Linked DNA regions of Stegostoma tigrinum. The protein of the gene in region 1 interacts with the protein of each later gene in a biochemical or structural test. Links are inferred from orthologs where the notes say so. Each region holds a gene or a part of one and is shown in the gene's direction. Other genes may lie near its edges. The genes, in order: card11, bcl10 and prkcq.

What was found.
Region 2: the proteins of card11 (region 1) and bcl10 form a complex in vitro, tested with the Homo sapiens proteins (2 studies listed by BioGRID, with this or other methods). The link is inferred for Stegostoma tigrinum from reciprocal best matches to the Homo sapiens genes CARD11 and BCL10.
Region 3: of the proteins of card11 (region 1) and prkcq, one has a biochemical effect on the other in vitro, tested with the Homo sapiens proteins (2 studies listed by BioGRID). The link is inferred for Stegostoma tigrinum from reciprocal best matches to the Homo sapiens genes CARD11 and PRKCQ.

The regions. Positions count from the first base shown.
Region 1 is NC_081376.1:13,754,919-13,761,878, forward strand, and holds the start of card11 (caspase recruitment domain-containing protein 11), read left to right. Parts: upstream 1-3,931; coding exon 3,932-4,062; intron 4,063-6,960. Other genes in the region: sdk1a (protein sidekick-1), read right to left, coding at 2,064-2,667. UniProt on the Homo sapiens protein: Adapter protein that plays a key role in adaptive immune response by transducing the activation of NF-kappa-B downstream of T-cell receptor (TCR) and B-cell receptor (BCR) engagement.
Region 2 is NC_081361.1:99,959,469-99,967,199, reverse strand, and holds the start of bcl10 (B-cell lymphoma/leukemia 10), read left to right. Parts: upstream 1-4,725; 5' UTR 4,726-4,989; coding exon 4,990-5,040; intron 5,041-7,731. UniProt on the Homo sapiens protein: Plays a key role in both adaptive and innate immune signaling by bridging CARD domain-containing proteins to immune activation.
Region 3 is NC_081378.1:6,292,562-6,300,539, reverse strand, and holds the start of prkcq (protein kinase C theta type), read left to right. Parts: upstream 1-4,956; coding exon 4,957-5,107; intron 5,108-7,978. UniProt on the Homo sapiens protein: Calcium-independent, phospholipid- and diacylglycerol (DAG)-dependent serine/threonine-protein kinase that mediates non-redundant functions in T-cell receptor (TCR) signaling, including T-cells activation, proliferation, differentiation and survival, by mediating activation of multiple transcription factors such as NF-kappa-B, JUN, NFATC1 and NFATC2.

The DNA.
Region 1 (6,960 bases):
TTATATTCTTAAAAACGTGCACACTTCAATATTCATATACATTTGACAGAAAACTACCTTTTACAAATTCATACTTCCCAACTACATCTGTCCCTATAATTATTTTAGTGCTCTAATTTCCACGTAAAAAGACTAACAGACTTATGATTTTGTAATTGATCTCTGTTAATGTCAAATAGTAGACTGACAATGGGAAGTATTCCAAAAGTGCACACAAATCGCTGAAGAAAGAGGTTGGTAAAAAAATGGCATTGACTTGATGGGCTTAACAGCTAAACATTTGCTGTAATATCCTCTCATTCTTGACATAAGGTAACAAAAGTGTTCAGATTACTAAAGAACATCTTTTTGTTTAAAATCCAAGATGGCACGTGACTAATCTCATTCCCACTGGGGATTTACAATCAAAAAATAATTACCACAAAATACAACCTGAAGTTCCAACTACACTGTACTTTGAATGAAGTACAACTGAAAAACTTATATTTTTTCCCATAATCAATTTTCCTTTAATAGCAACAGGACAAATGGTTTGAGCCTTCAGCTTAATGATGCCATTCCCAATTTAGAATTATAAAGTACACAGTGTTTCAGCACAGAGATATAATCCCAGCAAGTGGGACATTGAAGCTCCAACTCACAACTCCACAATGACATCCAGTGGGATCTTCATGTCTGGCAGGTGTGGGTATCCTGCCTCTGTGCAGTCTACGGCAGCTTATAAAACCGTTTTGTCCCATAGGACTAACCACTTATCAGCTGATACACATTGGAAAAAACGGTTACTGCTGTGAAGGAAACCATAATGTCATGAGTCAGATGCTACTCAGTTTATGAATCCTTTCACTACTTTAAACTATTCTGCAAGGGAAATGTGGAGAATAAATTTCAAAACAAAAATCAATTATAAAATAGGTGTATGAAACAACAGATATTGATGCTACTCAAACGAAATTAGATTAAGACAGCTAATTCAATCTTAATAGAAGTCAGTTTTTAAAAAGTTTAAACATAGGGACAGGAGTGCAACATAAAAGCCCTTTATTTGGAATGAATACAAGTTTTTACATTGGGATACTAATCCAATTGAGATCGCTGGCACCAGAACAAACGCGGCACTGTTTATGATGTATGACGGCGCATCGCTCAAGCAAAGAACTTCGGCATCCCACCATAAAGAGAGCAAATATCAGTTCATTCATTGGGTAAAACAATCGCGTTTCAAATACTTACTCGAACGCACGGACAATGGTACAGAAAGTGTTGTTTGCATTATCTTGTCTGTTAGCTAAATCAGAGTTTGCTTATATGCTGAATAAAGTAAGCTTGTTTCAATTAACAAATAATCCATAATGCAATATGGAAAGCGAGAGCAAAAACAAAGTCGCCAGAAAGCTTCAGGGGTCCGAGAAAAGGTCAACGGACCCGAAACCTTAACTGATTTTTTTTCCTTCACAGATGCTGCCAGACCTGCTGAACTTTACCAGCAACTTTGTTTTTGTTCCTGATTTACAGCATCCGCAGTGGTTTCGTGTTTTTTTTTAAAAAAGAGAGTAAGGGATTACCTCGGGTTGAGAAAGTAGTACGTACATTAGGCTTCTACTTCGCGTTGCAATTCTGTGATGGAAAATGAAACTGGCACAAGTGCTTATTTACACTGCCCAATAGAAGTGCAACTCTTTGGTTTGTTCCCACGGCAAAAAAAATAAAAAGCAAAACGCACGCTGTCTCATTAATTGACTCACCATCGGATAATTGTTCCTTAATACTACAAAGTCAGCTTGGAAAGTAAAGCTATGAGAGCTGATAGCAGACAATATTCAAATGTAACCCTTTGCGTACCGTACAGCTTGCAAAATACCATTTGATTAACAAGCATGTTGCAAAGAAACCATACGACAGTTGAAAAATATGGTAGCGTTTGTGTCCGCACTTAAAGCACAACACAAATGTTGGACTTTAATCTCTCCTTCACATCACTTGGAAGATTTGCATAAGCAAAAACATAATTTGTTCCCACTTTGAAGGTGTTTCGACTCCTGTAATGTAGAACTTAATCTTACCTTGAGCCAGGGTCTGTAGCACGTGGATATAAAAGAGAGCTAACATCCACATTCGCCCAAAACATCCAAACAAATTAAAGTTTCCTCTCGCACTAACAAATCCAGCTGTTCTTCGGAATACTCCCGATTTCGGTCCCCTAATCAATACATTAATTTCATCACTTCGGTTTTCAATCTGGTTATCGAAAACACCTTTCAAACAAGGCCGTTGCTTCATCGCCCTTTGGTTATTGATTGAGTAGTCCGTATTCCCGATTTCTTTGGCAATTTCGATCAACTGATTATGGTGGGCATTCGAACGCTGGATCGATCTCTGCTTAGTGAGTCCGCTTGGGTAAAGGCTCCCGATCGGTCCCTGCAAGGCTTTCCTTTGGCATCGATCTTTCGGATGATTGATTACAGATGTCGCTGGGTTTACAATTAGTTCATGGCTAGTAGCCCCAGAGTGCGGTCTTTTCCTGCTGCTAGAATTACTGATCAACGTTTGCGGGCCCTTGCTGCTAGCCCCTCGAGTACAGATCACCTCTGGATACGCATCAACATCAATGAGTAACACAGCGATGACCTGAGCATCGACCAGCCCAAAACTCGCGTCTCCCATCATCTGTTGATCGCCTCGATTAGTGCAATCAGGTCGCTCCCTAACAATCGATACGCTTTGGTATATTTTCAATGAAATATATTAGACTGAATGAAGGTCTCCTCCAAGCCGCTGGTTAAATTGTGTTATTTTGGCTGGTTGCCCTAGAGAGGAGATCGGGTTTGGTTCAATCTTTCGCAGCCTGCTAATGATCGCCGCTTTCCTTGTAGAGGGTTTGGATCGGTCCCTCTTCCCAAAGCCCGGATTTCCTCAGCGGGAACAGCGTCACTCCGTTCCGACAAGCTGCCTTCACCCCTGGGATGAGAAAGCAGAGGTGTAAATAAAGGGAAGCGTTTTCTTCCCAATCCTCGTTTTCCTTATTTTTTAATTTCGTCTGTTACTTTCCAATGTACACCGAGGAGGCACCAAACAGCAATGATCTCAACTTCCAGCCAGCCGCCTGCAATACCTGGTTGATAATTAACTCCAACGCTTTTTTTAAAAAGAGCAAATGATTATCACTTGAATGGTTGTTTGGTTTTATCACCTAAGTGGAGACGGGATAAAATTCCCAAACCTGAAAATGATGAGTCTGTGAAAGTTTCAACTCATAACTGAAACAGCTTTCAAACTTTACTTGAACAAATTACATGCATTCTCCAATTGGATGAACTGCGCTTGGCAAAGTTTGAACTTATATCTGACAGCGGCGCGAGACCAGGGGCGTTCGCCACACACACACACACACACACACTGATTTAGAGTTACATTAGTACGCCTAATATGTTTTATAAAAAAAAACATAATCTTCAACAACTTTGAACCCTGCAAGAGACCTGAAATTAAATTCTGAGGTGAACGCCCCTCGTCCGATGACTTTCCAACAGATTTCCCTCTTGCTTTGAACTACCTTGTAACGGCAGTTTGCGATTTCCTTCTTCCCCGCCGCCTTTTCCTGTCGACGGACCGCACTCTTTCGGCTCGAGCTGAAGCTCGAGCGCGCCTCTGATTGGTCAACGCCAGCAACCACAACCTGCGATCTGATTCGTCAACATTCCACCAGGAGAAAATCTCTTCCGGCTGATTGGCCGAATTCTGCACCACCGCTCGCTGATTCGCTGATATCTGGACAGGGTTCTCAGTTCCGATTGGATGGAATGCGATCGCTGCTGTGATTGATCAATTCGTTGATAGGTGCTGGCTTTCCATTGGTAATGAAACAGGCGACCATCTGTCTCCGGTCACTGGTCTCTTCACTGGAGCCCTGACCAACCAATAGGAGGACGAAATGAGAGGGGCTATTGATTGGTTCCAAAGAAGAAATTTCCAAGACAGAAAATTGGGTTTGCACAGCTTCTTGTCTTTAATGGTCAAGTTCTTCATTGAATCCTTAAATAAAACAAAGAACTGCAAATGCAGGTAATCTGAAAAAATTGTAGAATTTACTGGCGAATCTTAGCAGGTCTGGCAGCATCTGCGTGGAGAAAGCGGACTTAACGTTTCCACTACAGGTGACTTTATCAGAGTACCTTCAGTCGTTTTCGAGAGCGGGATTTCTCGTTAATCCATCACTATGCCGTGTTTTGTTTGAATGAAATTGTTCTTAGCAGAGCCAACCTATTTTCGACGATTCAGACCTACCTTACCATCCACCCTGCGTCGATGTCACTTCTCTATCATTTGTGCTTCCTTGGCGTTTTGCTATGTGTACCGACACAAGAAGTGACTGGGGAGTCCAGAACCAGCAGTCACAATCTTAAGGATACAAAATAGGCAATTTAGAACTGAGTAAAAACCGAAAGAACAAAATTGCTGGAGAGGTTCAGCAGATCTGGCAGCATCAGTGAAGGAAAAAGACAGAGTTACCGTTTCAGGTCCAGTGAACCTTCTTCAGAATCTTCCAATTTATGACTCAGATCAGGAGATGTTTCTTCGTCCAGATAGTGATGACCATGTGGAATTCTCTGCCACAGAAAGCAGTAGAGCCCAAAGCATTGAATGTTTTCACAAATAAGTTACTTAGTTAATTAGAACTTTAAAAAATTGAAGGGAAAGAGAGAAAGCAAGATGAATTAAGAACAGGGTACTGACTTGGATAATCAGCCATGATTATACTGAAAACTGGGCAGACTGAAAGGACCAAATAGCAAACTCCTGCTCCGATCTGCTATTTTCAATTAATCCATTTTGTAGCAACAAAGGGAAAACTGCTGGTCATTGTTAGACCACAGTGCATCCCATCTTCCAACAGATTCTTCATGCTTGCCCTGCCCTGTCCTCAAAATGTAAGTTCATCACTATCTCCAAGAGAAATCAATGAGATCTTTCTTATAGACAATACCACAAAACCCCAACACCCAGTTCATTCCCTTTCCAGGCCATGACCGTTTCCTTTTCGGGTGAACCATTTACCCAAAGCACTAGGTTAATCGTGCACAGATGTTCTTCAGTTTTACTGCCAATCAATTCCCTGAAAACCATGATGGGAACCCTCAATGCACTACAGCACTATGATTGCTTACAACGTAATTTACCAACAGAAAAACCATCACAGACTAAGCAGAAAAGTCAGCTAAAACAATTAGAATTCAACGCTCAGGTGTAATGATTCGCCCATCAAGACAATTAATTAGACAACTAAATATCTCTAATATTGTTGCCCAAATTAACACCTTTGATAAATTCTTCTGGACATCAATATTTTTTGAATGGAGACAGTAGGAACTGCTGATGCCGGAGAATCTGATACAACAAGGTGTAGAGCTAGATGAACACAGCAGGGGAAGCAGCATCAGAGGAGCAGGAAAGCTAACGTTTCAGGCCTAGACCCTAAAGGTCAGCTTTCCTGCACCTCTGATGCTGCTTCGCCTTCTGTGTTCATCCAGCTCTACACCTTGTTATATATATTTTTTGAAAGATTTTTTTTTTACTAGCTCTTAAAATAACTACTAACTTACTTTGGGTTTACATGGCTTAATTAGAATTTTACATTTTTGATACCATATTTAATATCTTCATTGTGTTCCCCAGACAGAGAGATTTTCTTTTCAAACTGTAAAGCTAAACTTCCCTAATCTTTCTTCAAAGCTCATTCTCTTTGCACTCGAATTGAAATATGACTGTTCTCCATACACAGCCTAATGCAATCTTTAGGGGCAGCCCTTTTCCCTTTTAGCAGTTACTGAACTTCAGGTAGATAATCAGCTTTGATCATGTTGAAAGATGAAGCAGACCTGGAAGGCAAGATGGCTGACACATTCTATTTTTTATGTTCTTCTGGCTGCTTATAAAAAAGCAGTGGATTTCCTGATTTTTCTCATGTGCACCGTAAGTTAAGTGGCTAAGAATAAAAGATTATCATGTTTTTGCAGCAATAATTACAAGCGGGATTTGTAGCATTCCAACAGTATCTCATTGACTCAAACTTGCACATATTACACACTGGACTTCATTTTCTTCAAAACGAATGTTTATTTTTAAATTTAAAAGTGAAACCTCAATAGTTGATACTAAAATGAAAAGGCAGCAATTAAAAATACACAAACATCTAGAATGTGCAGCAACAAGGACAGTCAGCTTTCCAATTTCACTTGTGTCCAAAATTACAATCTTCACAATAAGGTTAACTTTCTAGCCCAAGTGGCTGTTTAGGTGGTGATTATTTCATTAAGGATTTTTGTTCTAAAAAAGCAAATGCTGCCCGGAATACTGTAAAGAGAAATTCTTACAATCTTCCAGAGGCTCTACGGTGCTCCTCGGCAGCAAATGCTTCCAACTCAGAAAGTCAAGTTTACTTTTTGGACAGTTAACTTATCTGAACAACAATGTTCACTTCACAGGTGCCTAAAATATCAAGGGTTAAAATGCAATTTTTCCAAATTGCCATCAATAGCTAGTGTGAGTCTTAATTGAAAGATGTTCCTGTTTTGCAAAGTCTAAATAATTTCTTTCCACTTTTGTTTTGAATTATTGAAAAGATTCACCTGAACCTGGGCTTCAAAAATTGTAAATCTACCAAGTTTTTTGTGCATTTGTCACACTATCATTGTTGCAGCATCGAATACAGTATTCTAAGTCTAAAGAATGTATTGTAAAATCTCAGCATAGTTCTGGAAATGTAATTCTCTCACCTTTAAATTACTTCATTGCATTACCTAAATGTTGAAAATGATATTTTTACTATTATTCCCAAGCTCCCTCCTAGTCCATCCTTCTTCTAATTCAGTTCCATTCACTGTATATGTGTCTGAGATTATTTTGATGCACATTTAGCAACCTGAATTTCACCAGTGATATGTCTGCATAGTCAACCGACAT
Region 2 (7,731 bases), on another chromosome or scaffold:
CCCCAGGCCGGGGGTCCGCGCTGGGGGTCCGACCCCGAGGCTGGGAGTCTGCGCTGGGGGTCCCACCCTGAGGCTGGGCGTCTGCACTGGGGGTCCGTGCTGGGGGTCCCACCCTGAGGCTGGGCGTCTGCACTGGGAGTCTGCGCTGGGGGTCCCACCCTGAGGCTGGGCGTCTGCACTGGGGGTCCGTGCTGGGGGTTCCACCCTGAGGCTGGGGGTCCATACTGGATGCCCCACCCCCAGGCCGGGGGTCTGCGCTGGGGTTCCCACCCTGAGGCTGGGGGTCCACACTGAGGGCCCTACCCTGAGGCCAGGGTTCCGTGCTGGGCAGGAGAGTGAATGTTGAAGATCAGCAATGATCTTAATGGACATTGCAGCAGGCTCATGGACCAATTGGTCTTTGTTGTGCCTGAGCCTCAGGAACCTGGAGCAATAATATGATGATGTCACAGAAATGCAGATTGCCGAGCAGAAAGAGTGCAGTGTGGGCAGAGTTAGAACACACTAGAATGAGAGACAGTCTCGACAATATGTGGATATGAACACACTGATAAGATAAATTACTCCTTCCCTAGTGTAACCATAATATCAAACCCTGGTTATCCATGATTACCAAGTATGTGAATAATATTAATGTAAAATTAGTAGTGTTACTTCGAAGTTTAAGGCTGAAGACAGCACATGATTTTGTCTTCTCCTCAGCCAGCCTGACATGAATCCAACTCACAGTGTCGTCTCAAATTGGAAACTGAAAATTGAAAATGATCTTTATTGTCACATGAGTATAGTGAAAAGTTTACAAGTCACCATTTCGGGCACCACCTTATGTACAAAGATACCTAGGTATGGAATCTTTGGTACAAAGCAGAAAAATAAGGAAAACAAATTTAAAAAGTTAAACATTACAATCCTCCCTACTAAAAAAATGTCATGATGATAGATGGTGATAGGAACAGGATTCACTGCAGAGACGGCAGTGGAGTTAAAGAAATCGAACAGAGGTCATCTGGAGAAGGAGTGAATTGTTTTAGAGAAATCATCTATACATCTTTAAAACCACCTAGACACCAGAAAATCCATGGAGCTAAACAGCTGCGATAGAGTTTGGAAATATCTCTGAATAAAAAAACTCCTCCAGAGAAACCACAGGAATGTTGTGGGTCTCAAGAAGCATTTTACAATCAGTAATGGGGAAAACAAGCCAATACAAAATGGTGAGAATGGTAAAAGGCAATAAGCCATTAAGCAGATTCATGCAACCACTCACTAATACCGGCTGTTTACAGCACACCGAAACAGAATCGATCTCACAAAGGAATGGAGAAAACGTTATGTTTCCAACTTGACACCTAGACTTGGGAATATGGGGCAAAGATATTTTGTAGTGAATTAACAAACTTTTGAACTATTTGCTTGTCAAGAAAGTTATCAACAGCAAGATGAAATAATTCTTCAGGTAAAGGCTTAAAGAAAAAGTGATTGAAAAAGAAAATAGAAATCAGAGATAAGAATCATTATCACAGTTTGGATTATCAAAGTGGTAACAGTGAAATTATTGGTTTTAATTCAAGAGTGCAAACATGATCAAGTGGTATCAAAGTGAGCATGAAAATACCTTGGATACAGCAAAGATCAGCTTGAACCATGGCAAGGTAGCCATCTTGGACAGAGTCAAAAAATTCATTGCTTCTTGATGAGTGAAGCCATCTTGGGAAAGTTCTACCCACAGATCTTTTGGATATCCTATGGCAATCCTGGAAAAAGTACATCTTCATACCCATGCGGACGCCATATTGGTAAAGGCAAACGAGATATATTGAAACCAATATTTAGATCAATGGAAACTTCAACGGCTTTCAGTTTTACAACCTTTACAACATCAAACCGTCAACAACTTTAATCAACTAAGAAAGCTGCAAGAACACAAAATAATGTTCAAAGTCCAATATCCTTCTAAACCAAGAAATAATCAACAATTTCAAGTGTCTAGCAATAAAATTCACCAATTTTCTCATCAGAAAGACTTAAACTTTCAGACCCAGCTTAGTAAATTGGCGAGTGTGGAAAGCCCACTTCTGGATTGGACACTAAATCAAATGGGGAACAAATGGGAAGAACATCAGATCACGTGCTGCACTGACAACAGACTAGTGAATAAGCAAATTACACTTGACAACCCCGCAATAGCTTTTGATCGGTATTTCATTCCAAGAATAAATAAAATACTTCAACATCAGATATCAACTCCCAGGAGAGTCTGCAGATAGTTTCATGAATGACCTGGAAGCACAATCTGAACTATGCAGTTATGCAAAGTTATAACAAGGCCTCAATTGAGTTGAATTGTCCTTTGGCCTCTCAGACAAATTGGTAACTGATTTCTTTAGTCAAAAGATGGTGTGAATCTAGAACAAACAGTCTAAGTACCAGTGAGTAGTGAGTCCAGAAAATTGTTCAAGAATCATTAGGCAGCAACGGTTCCTTTTAATGGAAAACATTCCACAGATAGTGTTGACCACGAAAGCTACAATATCTGTCAGGTCACCTCTCCAACCTCCTATGCTCTAGTGAAAAAAATCCCAGCCTATCCAGTCTTTCTTTGTAACTGAAACCTTCCATACCCAGCAACATCCTGGCAAAGATGACAGGAACTGCAGATGCTGGAGAATCTGAGGTAACACGGTGTAGAGCTGGATGAACACAGCAGGCCAAGCAGCACCAGAGGAGCAGGAAGGCTGATGTTCCTGAACAAGGGTCTTGACCCAAAACGTCAGCTTTCCTGCTCTTCTGATGCTGCTTGGCCTGCCGTGTTCATCCAGCTTCACACCGTGTTATCTAGCATCCTGGCAAATCTCTTCTGAGCCCTCCCCAGCTTATTAGTACCCTTCCTGCAACTGGACAATCAGAAATGGACACAGTACTCCATGAGAGGCCTCACCACCATTTGTACAACCTCAACATGATGTCCCAACTCCTCTGCTCAAAAGTCTGAACAATGAAGGCAAGCCTGCTAAATGCTTTTTTAATCACCCTGTCTACTCTGACACAAGTTTCAAATCATTATGTGCCTGCACTTCTAGGTTCTTCTGTTCTACAACATTACATAAGTCCTATCATTAATTGTATAAGCCCTACTCTTGTTTGTTGTATTAAAATGCAACACATTGCATTTATCCAGATTGAATATACACCATTCCTCAGCCCATTGGCCCAGTTGATTGAGATCCCTTTGTAATCTTAGATAACGTTCTTCACTGTCTACTACACCACCAATCTTGGTGTTCTTCAAGATGGAAGTGGTCGTGGGTTCAGAAGGTGCTGTGGGAGGATCTTTGGTGAATTTCTGCAGTGCATCTTGTAGATAGTACACACTGCTGCTACTGAGGGTTGGAGGGAGTGGATGCTTGTGGATGTGGTTCGTCTTGAATAGTGTGAAGCTTCTTGAGTGTTGTTGAGGCTGCACCCATCCAGGCAAGTGGGGAGTATTCCATCACACTCCTGACTTACACCTTGCAGATGGTGGGCAGGCTTTGGGGAGTCAAGATTTGTGTTATTTGTTGCTAGATTTCTAGCGTCTGACCTGCTCTTGTAGCCACTGTGTTTATGTGGTGAGTCCTGTGGAGCTTCTGGTCTATGATTACACCCAGGATGCTGATAGTGGGGGATTCTGTGAGGGTAACACCCTTGAATGTCAAGGGGCAGTGGTTAGATTGTCTCTTATTAGTGATGAGTTAGTCTGGCATTTGTATGATGCAAATGTCACTTGCCACTTGTCAACACAAGTCTGGATATTGTCCAGATCTCATTGCGTTTGGACATGGACTGTTTCAGTATCTGATGAATCATGAATGGTGCTGAACATTGCGTCAGGTGTGACCCCAACCACCGGAGAGTTTGCCCCCTGATACCCACTGATTGCAGTTTTGCCAGGGCTCCTTGATGCCACACTTGGTCAAATGCAGCCTTGATGTCAGGGGCTGTCACTCTCACCTCACCTCTGGGATTCAGCTCTTTTATCCATGTTTGAGCCAAGGCTGTAATGGGGTCAGGAGCTGAGTGGCCCTGGCAGAACCCAAACTGAGTGTCACTGTGCAGGTTATTACTGAGTAGGTGCTGCTTGGTAGCTCTGTTACTGACACCTTCCATCACTTTACTGATGGTCGAGAGGAGACTGATGGGGTAGTAATTGGCCGGGTTGGATTTGTCCTGCTTTTTGTGTACAGGACATACTTGAGCAAGTTTCCACACTGTCAGGTAGATACCCGTGTTGTAGCTGTTCAGGGACAGCTTGGCCAGGGGAGCGGCAAGTTCTGGAGCACAAGTCTTCAGTATTATTGCCGGAATGTTGTCAGGGCCTGTAGCCTTTGCAGCATCCAGTGTCTCCAACCGTTTCTTGATACCACATGGAGTGAATCGAAGACGGGTTTCTGTAATGCTGGGGACCACTGGAGGAGAGGTAGTAAAATGCCAGCAGACTTGCCCAGGGATGATTAGATGGGCTGAATATCCACATATGAAACTTTTTAATGCAACTGTTCTTAATCGCAATCACTTAAAGGTCCAATTTTACAACAGGGCAGAAAAGGGAATTTTTTTTCAGCCAATGAGAGTGTTTTGGGCGAAAAGAGACGTTGCAGTAAAAGCTGGGGCTGGGTTATCCAGCCATAATGTGAAGGTACAGTGAACTTCCGCATAATAGCTAATTCCTCTCAGTCAGAGTTTCGCTAAACGTGCTTTACGTCAGTGTTAGCGGAGGGACGGAAGTTGTAATTGGTTAGACTTTACAACCTTCAGAGAGTGTGTGTCTGCTCAGAAGGAAAACCAGGAAGAAAGTGTACAGTCCAACAATGCAAACATGTAAAAGTTGCTGCACGTAACTCCGGCCCGGCTCCGTGATCCCCGGCATTGGCACTACCCAGGGGAAGCCCCCACCCCCCTCACACCCGGGCACAGAGAAACTGCAGGGCTCCCCTCCTGGCACCCACACCCATGGAGGCTGCGCAGCTCACCGAGGACGAAATGGCTGAAATAAAAAAGGAAGTAAGTTTGTTGCCGCTGTTTGAGCGAAATGTGAAAGGGGAACGGGTTTTCTTTTGCCCCAGTCTCTGGTGCTCACCTGCCCCCTTACAGGGCAGGACAAGTGAGTAGGTCTGAGGCTAGTGGGCACACTGGGGCACCGAGCTGCTCTGCCCAGGATGGAAGCTGTACCTTGGACACTGCAGTGTGGGTACACCTGGGCACTGAGGCCGGTGTAACTGGGGCACGGGTACACCTGGGCACTGAGGCCGGTGTAACTAGGGCGCGGGTACACCTGGGCACTGAGGTTGGTGTAACTGGGGAGCAGGTACACCTGGGCACTGAGGTTGGTGTAACTGGGGCATGGGTACACCTGGGCACTGAGACCGGTGTAACTGGGGAGCGGGTACACCTGGGCACTGAGGTCGGTGTAACTGGGGCATGGGTACACCTGGGCACTGAGGTTGGTGTAACTGGGGAGCGGGTACACCTGGGCACTGAAGTCGGTGTAACTGGGGCGCAGGTACGCCTGGGCACTGAAGTCGGTGTAACTGGGGAGCGGGTACACCTGGGCACTGAGGTCGGTGTAACTGGGGAGCGGGTACACCTGGGCACTGAGGTTGGTGTAACTGGGGAGCAGGTACACCTGGACACTGAGGTAGGTGTAACTGGGGAGCGGGTACACCTGGGCACTGAGGTCGGTGTAACTGGGGAGCGGGTACACCTGGGCACTGAGGTCGGTGTAACTGGGGAGCGGGTACACCTGGGCACTGAGGTCGGTGTAACTGGGGAGCGGGTACACCTGGGCACTGAGGTCGGTGTAACTGGGGAGCAGGTACACCTGGGCACTGAGGTTGGTGTAACTGGGGCATGGGTACACCTGGGCACTGAGGTTGGTGTAACTGGGGAGCAGGTACACCTGGGCACTGAGGTCGGTGTAACTGGGGAGCGGGTACACCTGGGCACTGAGGTCGGTGTAACTGGGGCGCGGGTACACCTGGGCACTGAGGTCGGTGTAACTGGGGAGCGGGTACACCTGGGCACTGAGGTCGGTGTAACTGGGGAGCAGGTACACCTGGGCACTGAGGTCGGTGTAACTGGGGCATGGGTACACCTGGGCACTGAGGTTGGTGTAACTGGGGAGCGGGTACACCTGGGCACTGAAGTCGGTGTAACTGGGGCGCAGGTACGCCTGGGCACTGAGGTCGGTGTAACTGGGGAGCGGGTACACCTGGGCACTGAGGTCGGTGTAACTGGGGAGCGGGTACACCTGGGCACTGAGGTCGGTGTAACTGGGGAGCAGGTACACCTGGGCACTGAGGTTGGTGTAACTGGGGCATGGGTACACCTGGGCACTGAGGTTGGTGTAACTGGGGAGCGGGTACGCCTGGGCACTGAAGTCGGTGTAACTGGGGCGCAGGTACGCCTGGGCACTGAAGTCGGTGTAACTGGGGAGCGGGTACACCTGGGCACTGAGGTCGGTGTAACTGGGGAGCAGGTACACCTGGGCACTGAGGTCGGTGTAACTGGGGAGCGGGTACACCTGGGCACTGAGGTCGGTGTAACTGGGGAGCGGGTACACCTGGGCACTGAGGTCGGTGTAACTGGGGAGCAGGTACACCTGGGCACTGAGGTCGGTGTAACTGGGGAGCAGGTACACCTGGGCACTGAGGGCGGTGTAACTGGGGAGCGGGTACACCTGGATATGTACACCTGGGCACTAATGCTGGTGCAACTAGAGCAGCGTGGATTGGCTCACCTCGGCACAGGTACACCTGGGCAGTGGGGAAAGGCCCAGCTGAGAACTGGGAGGTATCTGATACATGGACAATGCAAGGGTGTAGCTTTTGGGCTGAGAGAGACTCCACAATGTGACTGAACTCAGTGTCACCTTTCTCTGATCAATGTTACGAAAGGTCTAATTGCTGACACTAAGTTCCTTCTGCACTGGGGTTTCAGCTTTATTTTATTTTGCAGTAATGTTTCTTGGAAACAGTTTTTTTTGGAAGTGTCACATGATGTTCAGCAGCGTCAGATCTTTTAGCTCTTGAATTAAACTAGCCTGGGTGTCTGTGGGTTAGAGGCACATTGACACTGTATGCAGAAATTGGAGTTAACACTGGCTGTGAAAGACCCCTCCCTGCAAGATGATAATCGAGAAGAGAACTTTAAAATCGAGAATGTATTTTAAAATTATGCATGCCATTTGCAAATAGAAAATTTGACATTTTTAACTGTGTTGTGTTTAATTTTTATTCTCTTCTTCTAATGCTGACCTTGGAGAAACATTTTCTTCGTATGTAAAGTTCTCTCTTTGTTTTCCTGTCTGTCCATGTCCTTGTTTCTTGTTTGTATCTTGTAATCCTTTGCAGTTTGACAATCCTCACTGCAAAGCTGCTGTTTTAATTGCTTCACCATTGCTGCCTTATGCTGCTGAGGCCCTGAACTCCAGAATTCCCTCCACAAAACCCTCTCTTTTTCTCTCGCTCTCTCTTCTACCTGCTTCGAATCTTTAAAACTGATCTCTTTTGAACAAACTTTAATTTGCTTGACCTAACATCTCATGCAGCACTGTCAGAATTTGATAATTATTTGTATAGAAACATAGAAAATAGGAGCAAGATTAGATCTTTTGGCCCTTTGACCCTGCTCCACCATTCGATACAATCACAATGGATTGTAGAATAGAATTGAATATTCTTTTATTGTCACGTG
Region 3 (7,978 bases), on another chromosome or scaffold:
TGACTGAACTGAAACACACAAAATCCTTGACTAATAGCTGTCAAAAGGATGTTTCCTCTTGTGGAAAAATCTAGAACCAGGAGTTATTGTTTAACAATAAGGGGCACCCACTTAAAATAGGGATAAAGGGAAAAAAAATTTCCCTCAGAAGTTTACAAGTTTCATGAATTCCCTTCCTCAAAGCACAGTAGATGCAGAACCTTTAAGTATTTTTAAGGCAGTGATAGATCTTTTCTTGATGACCAAGGGTTGAAAGATTATTGGTGGTACGCAGAGACGAAAAGTTGAGGTTCAAATCAGATGTGTCATGATCCTTTTGAATGGGCAGCAGACTCGAGGGGCTGAGTGGCCTACTCATGTTCATTGTTTGTACTTAAAGTTGACCAGGGACAAGGACTGGATGAAATGTATCTGAGATTTTTGAAGGAAGTGAGAGTGAAATTCCAGAGGTACTGGTCAAAACAGAATTCCTTAAACTGAGATTGCTGGTGGACTGGAGAACTGCAAACATAGAACTATACAGTACAGAAGAGGCCCTTCAGCACATTGAGTCTGCAATGACAAAAATCTTCTGTAACTCTACACTTAGTCCCACTTCCCAGAACTTCCATGTACTAGCATTCCAAGTGCTCATCCAAGTACTTATTAAAGGTTCTGACATTTCACACCTGAAGTACCCTCTGAGGCATTGCATTCCACACCCTCAACATCCTCTGGGTGAAAATATTTTTCTTGAAATCCCCTCTCAATCTCCAACCTTTAGCCTCTAGCCTAACATTATGCCTCCTTATTATTGACTCTTCAACTAAGAGTAATAGCTGTTTCCTATCCAACCATGCCAATGCCCCCAAACCACACCCCCCTCCCATAATCTTAAACTCTGGCCCCCTCTTAACCTTCTTTGCTACAAAGGAAACAACTCGAGCTTATCTAGCCTCTCTTCAGAGGTAAATTGCTCCACTCTGGTGAATCTATCGTGTGGTGACCAGAAATGCACACCGTGCTCCAGCTGTGACCCAACCAAAGGCGAGAGAGAGCACAGAAGAGATTGATAAGAATGGCTTCAAGGATGAAATACAGGGCTGGGACGCCCTGCCAACCCAAGCCCCTCAACGCCCCCAACCTGACTCTTCTAAACTGCCAACCTTGCCACCTGCCTCTGCCCGAAACCTCTGACACCCCCAACACTACCCGACATCCATAAATAACGTGCTGACCTCTAACTCATTTACCTTCCAATGTACCCTTCCCTATCCCCTCATCATTCACCTGCCCACTGCCTTCCATTCCCCTCACCACTTCCCCCTTCTCCTGCTGCCTCCCTACCACCACACCACTCTCCCAACTCCCAATCCCATCACCACCCCCCGCCACCTACCCTTCTCCCGCTGCCTCCCTACCACCACACCGCTCAGCCAACTCCCAATCCCCTCACCACTCCTCTGCCACCTACCCTTCTCCCGCTGCCTCCCTACCACCACACCGCTCAGCCAACTCCCAATCCCCTCACCACTCCTCTGCCACCTACCCTTCTCCCGCTGCCTCCCTACCACCACACCGCTCAGCCAACTCCCAATCCCCTCACCACTCCTCTGCCACCTACCCTTCTCCCGCTGCCTGCTTACCTACATCATCCACTCACCTTTCACACCTGCCCACTATCCAAAGCTTTTCGATGAGGATTTGGACATCAAAATGTTTCACTTTAGTCACACAATAGTTGACGTTCTAAAAAGGGGTGTGGCTTCCCTTCCCATGATGGTGCTACACTATAAGGATCCTGGATGTGAGTTTGCTCGCTGAGCTGGAAGGTTCGTTTTCAGATGTTTCGTCACCATTCTAGGTAACATCATCAGTGAGCCTCTGGCGAAGCGCTGGTGTTATGTCCCGCTTTCTATTTATCTGGTTAGGTTTCCTTGGGTTGATGATGTCATTTCCTGCATTGGTGATGTCACTTCCTGTTCTTTTTTTTATGGGGATGGTAGATTGATTTGGAGCCAATGTGTTTGTTGATGGAGTTCCGGTTGGCATGCCATGCTTCTAGGAATTCTCGTGCGTGTCTCTGTTTGGCCTATCCTAGGATGGATGTGTTGTCCCAATCAAAGTGGTGTCCTTCCTCATCTGTATGTAAGGATACGAGTGATAGTGGGTACAGATGAGGAAGGACACCACTTTGATTGGGACAACACATCCATCCTAGGACAAGCCAAACAGAGACACGCACGAGAATTCCTAGAAGCATGGCATTCCAACCGGAACTCCATCAACAAACACATTGATTTGGAGCCAATCTACCATGCCCTGGGAAAAAGAACAGGAAGTGACATCACCAACGCAGGAAATGACATCACCAACCCAAGGAAACCTAACCAGATAAATAGAAAGCAGGACATAACACCAGCGCTTCGTCGGAGGCTCACTGATGATCTTACCTAGAATGGTGACGAAACGTCTGAAAACTAACCTTCCAGCTCAGCGAGCAAACTCACATCCAGAACCTCAACCTGAACTACAAATCTTCTCAAAACTCGCTAACTATATGGATCCAGCCAGATTAAAGCTATGCTTCCCATTTCTGGAGTATCTGTTTTCAGAACCCAGGCCCAGCAATGTGAGTCTACAGATAGAGTAACAAAGTAGCAACCTGACAGGGATCAATCTCCCCAAAGATTTCGACCAGAATCATGTCTCCCTTACTGTTCTTGAATCAATATCCTGGAACACTCTCCTTTCATAGCAGCGTGAATGTATCATACACCACCTTAGGAAAGATAATGGCCTTGTGGTACTAATGCTAGACTGTTAATCTAGAAATGCAGCCAAATTTCTGCGGAACTGGGTTCAAATCCTAACATGACAAATGGCGAAATTTGTAATTCAATAAAGAAACCGCAATTCAGAGTCTAATGATGACTACGAATTGTCACGAAAAACCCACCTGGCTTATTAATGTCATTCAGGGAAGGAATTCTGCCATCCTTACCTGGTCTGGCCTACATGTGACTGCAGACCCACAGCAATGTGGTGACTCTTAACTGCCCCCTGGGCAAATAGGGATGGGGCAATAAACACTGGCCTACACAGCGACGCCCATATTCCATGAATGAATTAAAACAACCGTAGACTGCAATGAGACTGAGACCCAAGAAAGCTCGACCACCAGTCTGACTCTGCCGTCTGCTGTCGGGAGGCTAAAGGAAATTTTTTTGACTATGCGGTTGCTGTGGCTAGTCTGTAAATGTACTTTGTACTTGATGCATATGGTGAAATAGTGCAGATAGCTGTAACAGTTTTATCTGATGCACTATTGCTACTAATGTGGAAGTTTGTTTTTAAGTAGTTTCCATCCTTACATGCACAGGCCCTCAGAAAATGATTGCTGGGCAGCAGTCCTTTATTATTTGGAACACGGCTATACTGTAATTACAAAGGGACCTTTATTCCCTCCAGCCTGTCCTGGCCCAGGTAGATTCAGCACTTGATAGCTCCCCAAGCAAGATTCCTTTAGCACTTTAAACACCTCAGTCAGATCATTCCTGATCCTTAACTTAAATAAGTACAAACCAGGTTTGTGCATCCTGCTGTTATCATTGTAACCTTTTAAAAACCGGTCCAATTTCGGTATGGAAGGCCTCCACTTGTGTCTGAGGCATTAGGATTTAACTAGATGCTCCAGTCCTGTCTATGCTGCCCAGCTGATCACCTCATGCCTGGTAGTGGTCAGGTTCCAAAAAGAGAACCACACACTGACCTCATAAACTCCAGAGTTATCTCCTACAAAACAGCCATAAGACCCTGCTGCTTTAAGGTTAATCTCTTCAAAACATTCTGATTCATGATGGATTGGCAAATCACTCCACTCCATTGGCCTCATGAAGTCCCAGGTTATTTCGCAAGAGACTGGGTCAATTAAATGTTCAGAACTGAGTGCGATCCATCGCAGGATGAGCAGCAAAGGTGAGAAAATGACTCCTGACTGAAGCAAAATTCACTTTCGCTCTGAGTATCTGAAGGACTGAGATTCCACTGTGTTTAACAAACATAATGATGTGCTTGAAATTCATCCATGCACTCTTTCAACAGGGATCTGACTTTTCTTAGTGGCTAATACTTTTGATAAAATACTGGGTAAAATTACCCTGTGTGAACAGGCAGGCAAGAATATTAAGCACCACATTAATGAATTTGTCTTGAGCATTTTCTTTTGCCAATTTCCCACACCCCTGACACCTCACGCACCCCTCTCCCACCCAACACCAGACAATACTTTCAAAAAAAAAGTGAAATCGTGAAAGGGATCAGTCACCTTAAATAAAAACCACAAGAACTGCGGACGCTGTCAATCAGGAACAAAAGCAAAGTTGCTGGAAAAGCTCAGCAGGCCTGGCAGCATCTGTGAAGGAAAAAACAGAGTTAATGTTTCGGGTCCGGTGACCCTTCCTCAGAACTGTCCCCGGACCTGAAAAGTTAACTCTGTTTTTTCCTTCACAGTTGTTGCCTGACCTGCTGAGCTTTTCCAGCAGCTTCCGTTCTTGTTCAGTCATCTTAACATGGCCAGGTCTAAAATCCTAAACTATATATTTTTTTCCGATTCTCTTTGTGTTGCTCTAAATGCTGGGGGAGGGTATAAACCTTTCTGAGTTAAGTTTCTATGGTTGAAACTATCCCATTTCTGAAATATGACTGTCCTGGATGCTGTGACATTCAGTGGGAGGGTGAAGCGAACCCCACTTCCTTCTCTCTGGGTGCTCTCCAGTTTATGGCATGACTCCTCCTCCCTTGTGACACATGAGACTGCTTGGCCCAGCTTCTTTTTTTATCTCACTTGTCCTCACAGAGAAGGAAGTAAGTTAGCAGTTGGTTCCGATGAGCTATTGGTTCCTGTCAGACCCTCTCTTTGTCGCCTATGAGGCTTGATGATTTGGTTGTTCCTTAGCCTAACTCCAATTGTTCATGATGTTATACCAAGGTCTGACTGTCAAGATTTCCGAAATGGCTCCTTTCCTTCGGATTGGCTTCTCCAACTTTGACATCGGTCTGTGCCCACAAGCCGAGGATGTCCAGAACCCTTACTGCGCTGTCATTGTGAAAGAACCAGTAGACACAGGTAAAGCCGTGACTTATCAAATCATCCGCTGATATTGTGCTTTCACCTTTCTGAATGTTACATTAAACTTAAGTTGTGTGTTTATATGATAACCCACCAATTACTACAAGCGAATAATGCAGTTAGCAATGTGTTACAATCTCACTTGTCTGGCATCCTGGATTATTTGCAGAAGCTGCTGCGTGTGGCAGGGTTTCACACAGCAATGTTTATCTAAGGCAGTTGTTTGCATAACAATGCCAATTTCAGGATGGTCTCTGCTCAAAGAATTGCAGACCTGAGCTGTTCTCCCAGCTCCACATAGCATTCCTACTCAGAGGAAGTGTGAGTCGACACCTATGTGTGTCTCTAACATATACAGAGGTCCACAGATAACAGAAATTGGCTTTGAATGTGCCTCACACCACCTTTTCAAACTGGCTTCCTCAATAGCAGTGGTTATACTGTAGCCTGTGTAAAACTGAAAGCCGTGTTCCAAATAATAAGAGCTGAATTCAGCTCTTGTAGGTGATCTCACATTGCTGTTAGTTTGAAATGAATTTGCAACCCGAATGATGTTACAAACTGTATCAATTCAGAAAATAAATTGCTTTGCACATTTATAAATGACTACAGCAGAGCTACATGGTGAAAAAGGTGTAATATTCTGACAAAGGCCTTGATCTTGCTTTCAATGAATTAATACTTTCATTACAGCAACACACAAAAGGATTTTACACTGATGTACTTCTTACTAGTGCCATACAGAACAATTTGCATCTGGTAATGTTGACAGCTAATGAGTTCTGACATTTCTTCACTCTCAGTAGGAATACCGCTGACTGCCTCACTCAGTTTTACGTGAAGGAAAAAAACAGAGTTCATGTTTCAGGTCCGATGACCCTTCCTCAGAACTGAGTTATAATAAGTGTTATAATAAGTTATAATAAATGAGTTTAATAAAGTTTTTGGTCGCTTGTTTTTCAATCAAAGAAAACAACATAAAACTGAAAAATGAAAGAACTGCAGATGCTGTAAATCAGGAAACAAAACAGAAGTTGCCTGAAAAGCTCAACAGGTCTGGCAGCATCAGTGAAGTTCATGTTTTGGATCCGTTGACCCTTCCTCAGAACTCCGAAACATGACCTCTATTTTTTCCTTCACTGATGCTGCCAGACCTGCTGAGCTTTCCCAGCAACTTCTGTTTTGTTTTATTAAATTTTGAGTATGAAGGACAGAGTATCAGATGGGATATGTTGTGGGAACTCTTGAATTGAATTATTTTTGTGTAACGGGACCTCCAGCAGAAAGGGGTGGTGGTGAGGGAGGGCAGCTAGAGCAGACTTGTGATAGAAAGACAGGTTGTGTTTGGCACAGAGAGGGATGATAGGGGAGGCAGACCACTTAAAGACATTCCTCAGCCCAGTGTCGCCACAATAGTCATTCCATGCATGTGGCATAAATAGCTCAGTGTTCACCCTTCATTTCCCTTCCTGTTTGCAATGCTTTGATGCCAGTAGATTAAAGTATCCCCGCTTCATGATCCTTGGGCTGTAAATGTGTTCAAATCTTACGGAACATTTGTATGAGCTCGCTCCCAGTTTAGCACATTGAGTAGAAGTGTCCCCACAACCACAAACTGCCTGAAACATTTGTACCTATCTTCACTGCTGGGGATAAAATAAAGTGAAGAACTGCAAATGCTGGAGATCTGAAACAAAAGGAGAAATTAACTGTAGAAACTCAGCAGGTCTGGCAGCATCTGTGGGAAGAAATCAGAATTAATGTTTTGAGTCTGATGAAGAATTGCTGGGCTCAAAATGTTAACTCTGTTTTCTTCCCACTTGCTAAGACCTGCTGAGTTTCTACAGCAATTTCAGGTTATGGTTCTCTGGCAGGAGTCCTGAATCATCTTCAGAGATTGAAAAACCTGAGAAGTTTTTGGTTTCACATTTGTAAATGTTTCATTCTGTAACATATTAACTGAAGATGGCTGAATAATTTCTCCCAGGGAAGTTTTATTGAATGTTTAGATTTGAGGTCAGTATATAAACCCTGAAATCACAATGGGCACAGGTGCAAACTCAGCTTTAGCAAGGGCCTGAATATTCTGCTTAATAAATAATGACAAATAGATTTATAGCAGATTAATCAAACTAATATTTATGTCAGTCTTCACTGTACAAGACACAAGTAATATCTCAGAAACAGCTGTATGCCAGGAAATGGGAGAAAGGGTAATGTTGTAACTATGGACTTACAAATCCCTGGGTCCTGATGGACTTCGTTCTATGTCTTAAAAGAAATGACCTGTGAAATAGTTGTTGCATTGGTTTTAATTTTCCTGGATTGGGGGAATATTCCTTTAGATTGAAAAGCAATGAATGTAAGCATGCAGTATAGTGAATACAACTCCTTTATTCAAAAAGGGATTCAGAATGAAGAAAACGGTGGGCTCGACATCTGACATAAGGAAGATATTAGAAGCTGTTATGAAAAATGTTCAGCAGAGTTCTTAGAAAATTAGAAATGTTTAAGATAATCAGGCTGATTGAATATGATTTTAGAGTCAACATTTTGTGAAAGGCAAATCATATTTAACCAATTTACTGGAGTTCCTTAAGGAAGCGCCATGTTCTCAATAAATTAAACATAGATAACACAATGTGGAGCTAGAGGAACACAGCAAGCCAGGCAGCATCAGGGGAGCAGGAAAGCTGATGTTTCGGGTCTGTGCTATCTCTGATTCCAGCATCGGCAGTTCTTACTATCTCAAAGATTTTAAACATAAATGGGTTGTTTTTGGTTTTGGAAATAGTATGCCACAGGAATGAGTGCTAAATTTGCTGACGGCATACAGGTAGATCAGAAAGTATGCCATCAAGAGGACAT